Linked DNA regions of Drosophila melanogaster. Changing the gene in region 2 together with the main gene of any one other region gives a genetic interaction. Each region holds a gene or a part of one and is shown on either strand. Other genes may lie near its edges.

What was found.
Region 1: of b (region 2) and r, changing one suppresses a phenotype caused by changing the other (phenotypic suppression), as found in Drosophila melanogaster (2 studies listed by BioGRID).

What each region holds. Positions count from the first base shown.
Region 1 is NC_004354.4:16,653,433-16,658,614, forward strand, and holds the start of r (rudimentary), read left to right. Parts: upstream 1-1,926; 5' UTR 1,927-2,177; intron 2,178-2,658; exon of another isoform or gene 2,659-2,727; intron 2,728-2,952; 5' UTR 2,953-2,965; coding exon 2,966-3,724; intron 3,725-3,788; coding exon 3,789-5,182. Other genes in the region: Nemp (nuclear envelope integral membrane protein), read right to left, coding at 4-636, 704-1,435. UniProt on the Drosophila melanogaster protein: Multifunctional protein that encodes the first 3 enzymatic activities of the de novo pyrimidine pathway: carbamoylphosphate synthetase (CPSase; EC 6.3.5.5), aspartate transcarbamylase (ATCase; EC 2.1.3.2) and dihydroorotase (DHOase; EC 3.5.2.3).
Region 2 is NT_033779.5:13,819,024-13,824,479, reverse strand, and holds b (black), read right to left. Parts: upstream 3,233-5,456; 5' UTR 3,094-3,232; coding exon 2,332-3,093; intron 1,799-2,331; coding exon 1,431-1,798; intron 1,367-1,430; coding exon 769-1,366; 3' UTR 501-768; downstream 1-500. Other genes in the region: PolG1 (DNA polymerase gamma subunit 1), read left to right, coding at 1-340; Sos (Son of sevenless), read right to left, coding at 5,102-5,145, 5,211-5,456.

The DNA.
Region 1 (5,182 bases), on a different chromosome or scaffold from region 2:
CCGTTATTGTACTACTTGCCGAAGGTCCACCTCCTGCTCGAAGAACTCCTCCTCCTCGCTGTCATCGGACTCCGACTCCGGCTCCGGCTCCGAGTTGCGGGCGGCCTGTTGATAGCGGAACTGCGAGTTGGGCAGCGGCAGTAACTCCGCTGGTTTATCCTCCTCAGGTTCCTCCACTGATTCCTCCTCGGGCGCCGCATCCATGGACTCCTCGATGGTGCGCGAGTGGTCCTCGATCTCTTCGTCGTCCAGATGCGGTGCTCCATTGGCGAACGAGGCGAAGCGCAAAGGATCACGCAGTTTGCCCATCACCGCCCACTGCTTGCACTCCGGACTGTTGACGTACTTGCGCAGGTCCGCCAGCGATTTCGAGGTCTCCACGGCCGTCTGCTGTTCGTACTCCTCCTGGGTGAGCATGCGCCTCTTTAGCGGAAAACGGCGGCGATACATGAACTTGATCTGGTTCGTCCACGAAATGGGGAAGTAGTGGGCCACAAAGACCAGCACCATGATGAAGATCACGGCGCTGGTGTGCCAGCTGCTGAAGTAAGCCATAACGGCGCCAATGGCCTGCAGCACCCACATGACGATGGTTTGCGATCGAGGATTCTTGGGCGGACCAATGCGATAGCAGATCTGTAGAATAATCGAGGCAATTAGCTGGGGTTATCTAATCAAAAGGGAATATCAAGTGACTACGCACCAGGAACGAGATCAGTCCGGTGATCACCAGATAGCCCAGCACATGGTCGCGGTAGGTGATCAGAATCAAACGCAGATTGTCCGCCAGCTGTTTGATCACATAGAAGCCAATGGTCCAGCCGCCAATTAGGACGCCATACATCATGGTACGTCGCGGAAAGAGTTTGGCGGCCAAATAGATGACCACCAGCAGGGAGGCGCATATGCCGATGACAATGCCGACCAGATAGTAGAACACACTGTTCTTTGCTAGCCGCCGGGCGCTGAAGAGGATCAGTATGCCGACGGCGAACTGTGCGAGACGCCACAGATCCAGCGGAATGCTATTCAGAATGACGGTGTACGCCTGGCGGGAGGAAATCCCGATGCACTGCTGCTCGAAGGGCGAGAGCTGCAGCAGCTGGCGCTTCTGCGCGAACAGGGTGATGCTGAACAGCGATTGCTTGTCCTTGTAGTGCTGCAACACCTCCTCCGGCGTCTTCCCACCGTACTGGGAATAATCATCGCTCCCGATGGCCAGGACGAACTCCACAGTCTCGAAGAGACTTGACACCGTCAGCCGTTTACCCGGATAGCAGAACGTGCGCAGAGTCTGCAGTCCCAAGATGTTCTCCGACAAATTGATGTATGTGCCCGGCGTCAGGTAGGCGACGTCCGAGGAAGCCGTATTGCCAGGAATACCCGATGTGAAATATCCAGCCACGGTTAGCATCAGTAGTCCAGCCGAATGCATTATGAACGGTTGCAATGGCGTTAATCTTATCAATCAGTGCGCTTTCAGTCTGTTGCTCTCGCAGGACGTTCGCTTGTTAAATGCTGACTTGCTTATGCTTGATGTTTTGATGTTTACTTTACTTTAAGGAATCGAATGAAAAAGCAACGCCGCTTTGGTTTATGTCCTCACTCACGACGGGACGGGCAGTATATCGTAACGTAAGAAAAATGTATCGATAGGTGTGTGTGTGACTACACTGTTGTGATTTCAAATTTGTGACTAACCATTTAATTGTGGATTATTTATTTCCTTTGGAATACTTTGCAGAACACCCCATTTAAACATGTTTGCTAATATTATTACAAATATCTTATCTTATTCATAACAATAAATGAATATATAACGTTCTTGCCAAGTTCCCAACCTGCAATATTACTTCTAGTAAAGTTCCACACCGCCGAGCTAAGCTCTTGCTGTGGCATTTTTTAGCACATAATGCACGAAGATTCCGATTCAACCAAGGCGGTGAATTCAGTTGTTCGACTTTGATTTTCCAGACGTTAATTGGAGCCAATTTGCAAGCAAACACAGTTAAATGCTCAAACTAAACATATCCGAGCAGTGCGAAGTTAACCAGCTCTAAAAGCGGTGTCGCAAAGTAAACAAATCAAGTTGTCAATCGAATTAAAGTCGAAACCAAAACGTGTTCACAACTACAAGTGCAGCAAAGAGAGAGCTTCGCTTGAAAGTACACGGAATCGTAAGTGAGCTGTAGTTGTAACGGGTGCAGATGGGAAAAGGATAACTTGATGGCGATACTAATGCATCGTAGCTTAAGGATTCTCAGTTGGTTAATCCTCAATTCCTGCCCAAAGTCCAATTCAAAGTTAAAGTCAATGTTATTGTTATTCTCATTTGCTGACCGAACCGGTTTCCAATTGGATCCAAACTTCTCACACGTGCTTACGCACACACAAAACGCACCCTCTCACACTCGCTCTTCCTCTTTCTTCTCCGCCGCTAGTCATCGTGTAAACAAACCGTGAATGGCAATATCAAATGACAACAGGAACTTGAAACGCTTGATAAGCAGTGTCCATTCCCAATCAGAACCGTGTTGTGCCCCGCTCAACATGTTGCCAGACAGTTAAATACATGCATACATTCATCTATCGCGGCTTCCTATTGGATTCTTTGTATATTTTCTTGGGCCGGCAAACTGTGTGCGTGTGACGGTGTGTTTATAAACACATGTGTTTTTTGAACAAGATAACCTGTGGAATTATATTACATTACATTTAAAATCGAGGGTATGCACGCGCTCTGCGTAAACATATAGCATAGTCATAGCATATACTCATTAAGTAAAGTTCCCAGAGTCGCCGAATATTGTTATCAGATTTTCGACTCAATATTGTGTCTACTTGCCTTCGTAGAGATATGATCTTTTAATTAATTAACTTTGCTCGTTTATTTAAGACGGTTTTCGAGTGACAGGTACTAAAGAATACCCTATGGTTTCCAATCCTCCCCAGCAACTCGTCCAATATGGCCTCTACGGACTGTTACCTCGCACTGGAGGATGGCACAGTGTTGCCCGGGTACTCCTTTGGCTACGTTCCCTCGGAGAATGAATCCAAAGTGGGTTTTGGTGGCGAGGTGGTCTTCCAAACGGGCATGGTTGGCTACACGGAGGCGCTCACGGATCGATCGTACAGTGGTCAGATCCTGGTGCTTACCTATCCACTGATCGGTAACTATGGGGTACCAGCGCCGGATGAGGACGAGCACGGACTGCCGCTGCACTTCGAGTGGATGAAAGGCGTCGTCCAGGCCACCGCCTTGGTGGTGGGCGAGGTGGCTGAAGAGGCATTTCACTGGCGCAAATGGAAGACGCTGCCCGATTGGCTGAAGCAGCACAAGGTGCCCGGAATTCAAGACATTGATACTCGAGCCCTGACCAAAAAACTGAGGGAGCAGGGAAGCATGCTAGGCAAGATTGTCTACGAGAAACCGCCGGTCGAAGGGCTGCCCAAGTCCAGTTTCGTAGATCCGAACGTCAGGAATTTGGCCAAGGAGTGCAGCGTTAAGGAGCGACAAGTGTACGGTAATCCCAATGGCAAGGGACCACGGATCGCCATTCTGGACTGTGGACTGAAGCTCAACCAGTTGCGCTGCCTGCTGCAACGTGGCGCCTCGGTGACCTTGCTCCCCTGGAGCGCTCGTCTCGAGGATGAGCAGTTCGACGCCCTCTTTCTGTCTAACGGACCTGGTAATCCGGAGAGCTGCGACCAGATCGTCCAACAGGTGGGTCACAATTGAATCATTTGGATAGAATATAATGCTAATTTAACTAATCTTTTGTTTCTAGGTGAGAAAAGTGATTGAGGAGGGTCAAAAGCCCGTCTTTGGAATATGTCTGGGTCACCAGCTGTTAGCGAAGGCAATCGGCTGCTCTACTTACAAAATGAAGTACGGCAATCGAGGACACAATCTGCCCTGCCTGCACCGAGCAACTGGACGTTGCCTGATGACGTCGCAGAATCACGGATACGCGGTCGATTTGGAGCAGTTGCCCGACGGCTGGTCGGAGCTATTTGTGAATGCCAACGACGGCACCAACGAGGGCATTGTCCATGCCAGCAAGCCCTACTTTTCGGTTCAGTTCCATCCGGAGCATCATGCTGGACCGCAGGACACGGAGTTCCTGTTCGATGTCTTTATGGAGAGCATTCAACAGAAGGATTTGACCATTCCGCAGCTGATCGAGCAGCGACTGCGTCCGACTACGCCTGCCATAGATTCGGCTCCAGTGATGCCGCGCAAAGTCCTAATCCTGGGATCCGGTGGACTGTCCATTGGTCAGGCTGGCGAGTTTGACTACTCCGGATCGCAGGCCATCAAGGCCATGAGGGAATCAAACATTCAAACAGTGCTCATCAATCCGAACATAGCCACCGTTCAGACCTCTAAGGGAATGGCCGACAAGTGCTACTTCCTTCCCCTAACACCTCACTATGTTGAGCAGGTGATTAAGTCGGAGCGTCCGAACGGAGTACTGCTCACCTTTGGCGGCCAGACCGCTCTCAATTGTGGCGTGCAACTGGAGCGAGCCGGAGTTTTCTCCAAATACAATGTCCGCATTTTGGGCACACCCATCCAGTCGATCATCGAGACGGAGGATCGCAAGCTCTTTGCCGAGCGGGTCAACGAGATTGGCGAGCAGGTGGCGCCATCTGAGGCTGTGTACTCCGTTGCCCAGGCACTGGATGCGGCCAGTCGCTTGGGTTATCCGGTGATGGCCCGTGCTGCCTTCTCCCTGGGCGGACTGGGTTCCGGGTTCGCCAACAACGAGGAGGAGCTGCAGAGCCTGGCCCAACAGGCACTGGCCCACTCGAGCCAACTAATTGTGGACAAATCCCTGAAGGGTTGGAAGGAGGTGGAGTACGAGGTGGTGCGCGATGCCTACAACAACTGCATTACCGTATGCAACATGGAGAACTTCGATCCCCTGGGCATCCACACGGGCGAGAGTATTGTGGTGGCCCCATCGCAGACCCTCTCGGATCGCGAGTACCAAATGCTCCGCAGCACCGCCCTGAAGGTTATCCGTCACTTTGGTGTCGTTGGCGAGTGCAACATTCAGTACGCCTTGTGTCCCCATTCGGAGCAGTACTACATTATCGAGGTGAACGCCCGACTGTCGCGCAGCTCCGCGTTGGCCAGCAAGGCCACCGGCTATCCACTGGCCTATGTGGCCGCCAA
Region 2 (5,456 bases):
CTGCTTGAGCTTCCATGATGAATTGCGCTACTTGGTCAAGGAAGAGCTATCGCCCAAAGCGGCGCTGGCCATGCACATCACAAACCTAATGACGCGCTCCTTTTGTGTGTCCCGCATCGGACTGCAGGATCTGCCCATGTCGGTGGCCTTCTTCTCGTCCGTGGAGGTAGACACTGTGCTGCGCAAGGAGTGCACCATGGACTGCAAGACGCCCTCGAATCCGCATGGCCTGCGCATCGGCTATGGTATTCAGCCTGGTCAGAGCTTGAGCGTAGCGGAGGCAATCGAGAAGGCTGGAGGCAACGATGTCAGTCAGTGGGATTGGATAAAGAAGAGTTAGCTGCCAAATACTAGAGATTAAATCATAAGTACTAAGTTGTTACTCAGGAAGTCAAGGAGACTTGGAGGCTGTTACTAGTTCCTCTTAAATTGTAAGGCCCAAAATGTTAAATATACATAAATCAAGTGTATTTGAAATAGTTAAGGGTTTGCAAACTTAATCACTATGTTTTTAAATAACCTTGCATTTAAAGCATCCTGTTGCCGATACGTTTCCCAGTTCCCAAGGCAAGGACACACTTTAATCTAAATGAAATGACCTATAAATATGTATTTTTGTTCTTTGTTTTTGGTAATACTTAACATCCAGAAAAATATACAAACGTGAGTAGTATTAGTTAACCATACACTAGAAGATACAATCGGCGTAAGCCTAAAGAGAATGTTGTCAACACCTAACCTCATAACATGCCATCGCCGCGTCACCGTTTACAAGTTTTGGGCGAGCGATTCGATCTCGTCCAGAAAGTAGACCATGTCCGACTCCTCCAGGCAGGAGTTCTGCAGCACCAGGCGAAAGAAGTTGGGCAGCTGGCGCAACGGCTGGTACGTGATCATCATGGAGCCCTTCTTGATCATGCCCTCCTTGACCTTCGGCGCCACCTTATGCAGACGGTCGTAGAACTCGCGATTGCGCTCCATTTCCCGCAGACCGGGCGGCACATACCAGAAGCTAATGTTGGTGCACTCGGGACTCTCGAGGACGAGCTCGAATCCAGGACGCTCCCTCACCTTGGCCGTGAAGAACTCGGCCATGCGGAAGACCTTCTCGACATGCGCCTCCAGACCCTGGGTGCCCTTCGCCTTCCACATGAACCAGAACTTGAAGACATCCGCTCGTCGGCCGCACTGGATGTGCTTGTCGCCGGTGTCGAAGGATGTGTCATAGAACTTGTCCTTCTGGAACAAGTATGTCGCATTGGTCGAATGGCACTGGGCCAGCACCTGCTGGTGACGCGTCAGGAAGGTGGAACACTGTTGCGAGGCAGCCAGCAGCTTGTGTGGATTCCAAGTGACCGAATCAGCCCTGCCAATATACACATCTTCAGTTTACCCCTCGAAATGAGCAACCAGGATATGATGAAACTCACCGTTCGATGCCATTGAGCAGATGGCGATACTTCTTGGACATGAGCGCACCGCCACCCCAAGCCGCATCCACGTGCATCCACATGTTGTACTTCTTGCACACCTCCGAGATTCCAGCCAGATCATCGAAGGCGCCCAGCACAGTGGTACCCGCTGTGGCCGATACCATCAGCGGCTGCCAGCCGTTCTCCAGGCACAGCTTCACCTGTTTCTCCAGGTCGCTCAGCCGCATCTTGCCCACCTCGTTGGTGGCTATCTTGCGCACATGATCGCTGCCGAAGCCCATGAACATGGCCAGCTTCTCCACGGAGTAGTGCGCGTCCTCCGAGGTGAAGATAATCAGCGGCTTGGCATTAAAGAGTCCGTTTTTCTGCGGATTGAAGAGGTTAATTTCGTATATTTATAAAAGTTAGTAATACTTTTTCTATATAGTATAACTATTTTTATAAAATCGATCTATTTAGAAAAGAATTCCTATTTCAATTCCGTAGATATTCGAGTTTTTTAAAGTTTTAATTCGTTATTTAGATTGGAATTTGAATTGAATTTTTTCAACAGACAAAAATGTAGAAAAATCCTTGAAAAGCACTAAGTTCTAAAATGCATTGTTTTAAAATACCGTTCTCTTTATCAGTTAAATTTCTATATAAATCGAAAATGAACATAAAAAGTATAATTTTTAGCACAGGAAATCATTAAACCTTTTTTATGAACCTAAATATGTGCCTTTTAATCTTGAAACACACATCTTTATAGTTTATTTATCTGATTAAATCGCTAAGAACTTTTAGTTTCACTTTTATATGTATATCACGGGCATGACTAACGATCACTCGCCAATCAGTGGATGCCGACTTCCGCGTGGATTGGCGGTAAACCACTTGGCTGCAATGGGGCACTCACCTTGGACTCGGGCGAGTGTCTGTAGCGGGCGCAGCTGATTGCATAACCGTTGGCTATCGAGCCGCCGGGACAGAAGATGCCATCACCCTGGCCGCCATTGGGGAAGCCCACAATGCGTCGCATCTCGGCCAACACCTGCTCCTCCATCAGCGTAAAGAGTGGAGCCACCTCGTACGTGTACACGCTGGGATTGAGGGCATCGGTGAGCCATTGACCTACCAGCGCGTATGGATCCACACCCGAGTACAACTGATTGATGAAGTACGGATGTCCTGTCTTCACGGAGAATCGAATCGTTTCCCGCAGCAGCTCGCGCAGCTTGTCCTGCGATTCGCCCTGCTCCCGCAGCTGGAAGTCAAAGAGCTGTCGCAGCTCAGCTGGCTCGTGCCACTCGACGACCTTCGAGGAGCGATTGGTGCCCTGGAAGACGGCCAGCTTGATGATCTCGTCGACGCAAGCGCGGATGAAGCCCTCGAACTCTGCCGCCGGATGGCTGGCCACAAAGCTGGATAGATCATCCTTGGTGCTCGTGATGTTGTTATTATTATTATTATTATTGTTGGCGGCGTTGGCCAACATTTTGCTGGCCTGCTCGAATGCAACTGTGGAGGTGGAATCAGCCGGTGACGACGTGGACGCCACCAACGCTGCCGTCGCTGTCAATGGGCTAACGCTTGCCAAATCATCGCCACTCGTCGTACTGTACGGCTTAAATATAGATTCCTTGAAGTGATGTGTGGGAAAGTTCTCGCTGGCCAGCATTTTATTGGCTCTCGTCTGCGGTTTATACTGTAAATGTCTTGGCTAGCGCTCTAGATTTCCGATGTACTAGATGGTACTGTTCCTGGTGCTGGTGCTGCTACTGCTGCAGATTGCACTTGACAGTGATTCCGTGTGAACTGAGTGAACAGGCGATGTTGTTGCCGCTTTTATAAAAGCTCGACGACTTCCACAACTCAGAATCCGAATCCGAATCCGAAACCGAGTGGCGCTTATTACATAAAGGCACTGCCGCTCGAGAGCCGACGCAGGTGCCGATCTCACCTGGCTTGACTCGTGGATTCTGGTTATGCGGCTGTTAGCATGGAAAGCACCTCGTTCCTGCGCAATGCAGAGCACTCAGAGCACCGGGATTTCCCTGGTCCACTCATCCCAGAATCGCAGAATCCCAATTTTGGCTGGCTGTTGGTTAATTGGCTGACTAATTGATATGCTCATGTAACACAATTATTTACGAGCAATTACGGCGCGCTGATTATGCGCCAAAGGTCTAATCTTCTCTAGCAATTTGCCGTGGCGTTTCTCTCTCATTAGCCGCAATCAAGTATGCATTAAATGCAAATGCATTGAATAATTCCATTCTTTGGCCAATTGCTAATTGTGTGAGAAGATGGCAGACTGGCACATACATACTTACATACATAGATTGCCAGTTGGTGTAGGTCGTCGTCTGGCTTCCCGATATCTTGGTCAAGTGTTGCAGGGAAAGCGAAATCTAATGGCGAATAGATATGATCGTGCTCGTCCGATGGCCTTGTCTATAGGGTATGGAGTGCATGGTGCTCTATAAATAAAGGTGCACCCCACCACCACCCCCCACAATTCAACAACGGAAATTCCCCGAGTGTCTGCTATGATGTATTGAGATGTGTTCATAGGACACAATTGGACATGAAAGATGGTCTGTCTTTCCCAGGAATTCCTTTCGGTTTATTCACCCTGGTAACCGCTGGTACTTCACCGAGGATCCAAATCGCTGCGCCATCAGGTGACACATCGCTTTTTGGGGACGGTGGCTGCTGCACACACATAACTCCCCCAAATAACTGACGATAAGGGGCTGGACACGAGCGTGAAAATACGAATATACAAATATACGAAAATAATTCAAAAAAACAACAACCGGTTCCCAGCGGCGAGCAGCCCAAAATTTCAGGAAGCATTTGTGCTCGACGTTCATGACGTTTTAGAAAAGCGAAAGTCAATCCGCGTTGTTTCCAATAAGCGAATGTGTGTGTCCAATTTAATTGCACCTAATGCAGTGAGACAACAATCGCTCTAGTTTTTCCTAACCCACCGAAACTAATTAGCCATATACACAATCTTAATAATGGCTGCGATTATGCTGGACACTGCGAGAATGTCAGGTGTGTTGCAGTCGGATGTCGGTTCACGTCGACTTCATCAAGGCCACTGGGCACATAAAGAATACCCACGATCTTTAAACGTTGGAAAAGCCTTGATAATCTATGCTATTTGCTCAGATTGCCTTGACTTTGGCTACAATACTCTATATTTCTGGTCATCGAAAGATGTCGCCAAGTGTCTAACAATAGGGTTATACTTTATTGTTTTACGTTCTACGATCAATACAATGTTCTCGATATTTACAAATATTTATAATAGTAATTATATAATAACATAATTTCTTGTTTGCATTTCTTGTTGGTTGCTTGGTTGCTTGCTTGGTTTGTGTGTCCTGCATTCCTATCCATATGCGCGTGCCTGTTGTGTGTAAATGAGAGCGTATTTTGTCTGTCTGTCTGTTCTACCTTGTTAAATGAGTGGCGAATAATCTAAATCAGCGGTTCCAACTCGTTTCATACTAGAATACATAAACTGCGCCTACGTATATATGTATATATATATATATATATCTCACGTTCCGTTCTCTCATATATATATCTGCACTCAAGCAGTGCTCGCAACTTTGAATCTTACGGATCATACTCGTAGTTTTCGTCCTTATCACATCGCCAGGCAATTTAAATTATTCTTCGTTTGTACTTGGGTAAAGAAACATCGTACCTTTATCTGCAAACGGATAGGATGGTTGGGTTAGGAAACACGTTATCACGGGCCGAGTTGGTAGCACTCACCTGGATTGTTATAGAAGTTAGCGCTTAGACTAGGTTTTGGTGGAAGTTTGGGTGTGCCCTCGAGGCTCGTGGCAATCGGAAAGAACTCCTTGGGGGACGAGCGCGACTGCGTCGGATTCGAATGGTGCTGGTGCGGATGGTGCGGCAGATGGGTGGCATGATGTTGATGGTGCTGCGAGTAGATCGCTGGATGCGTCTGCTGCTGCTGCTGCTGCCGCATTCGCAGTTGGTGGGCATAGCTGCTCG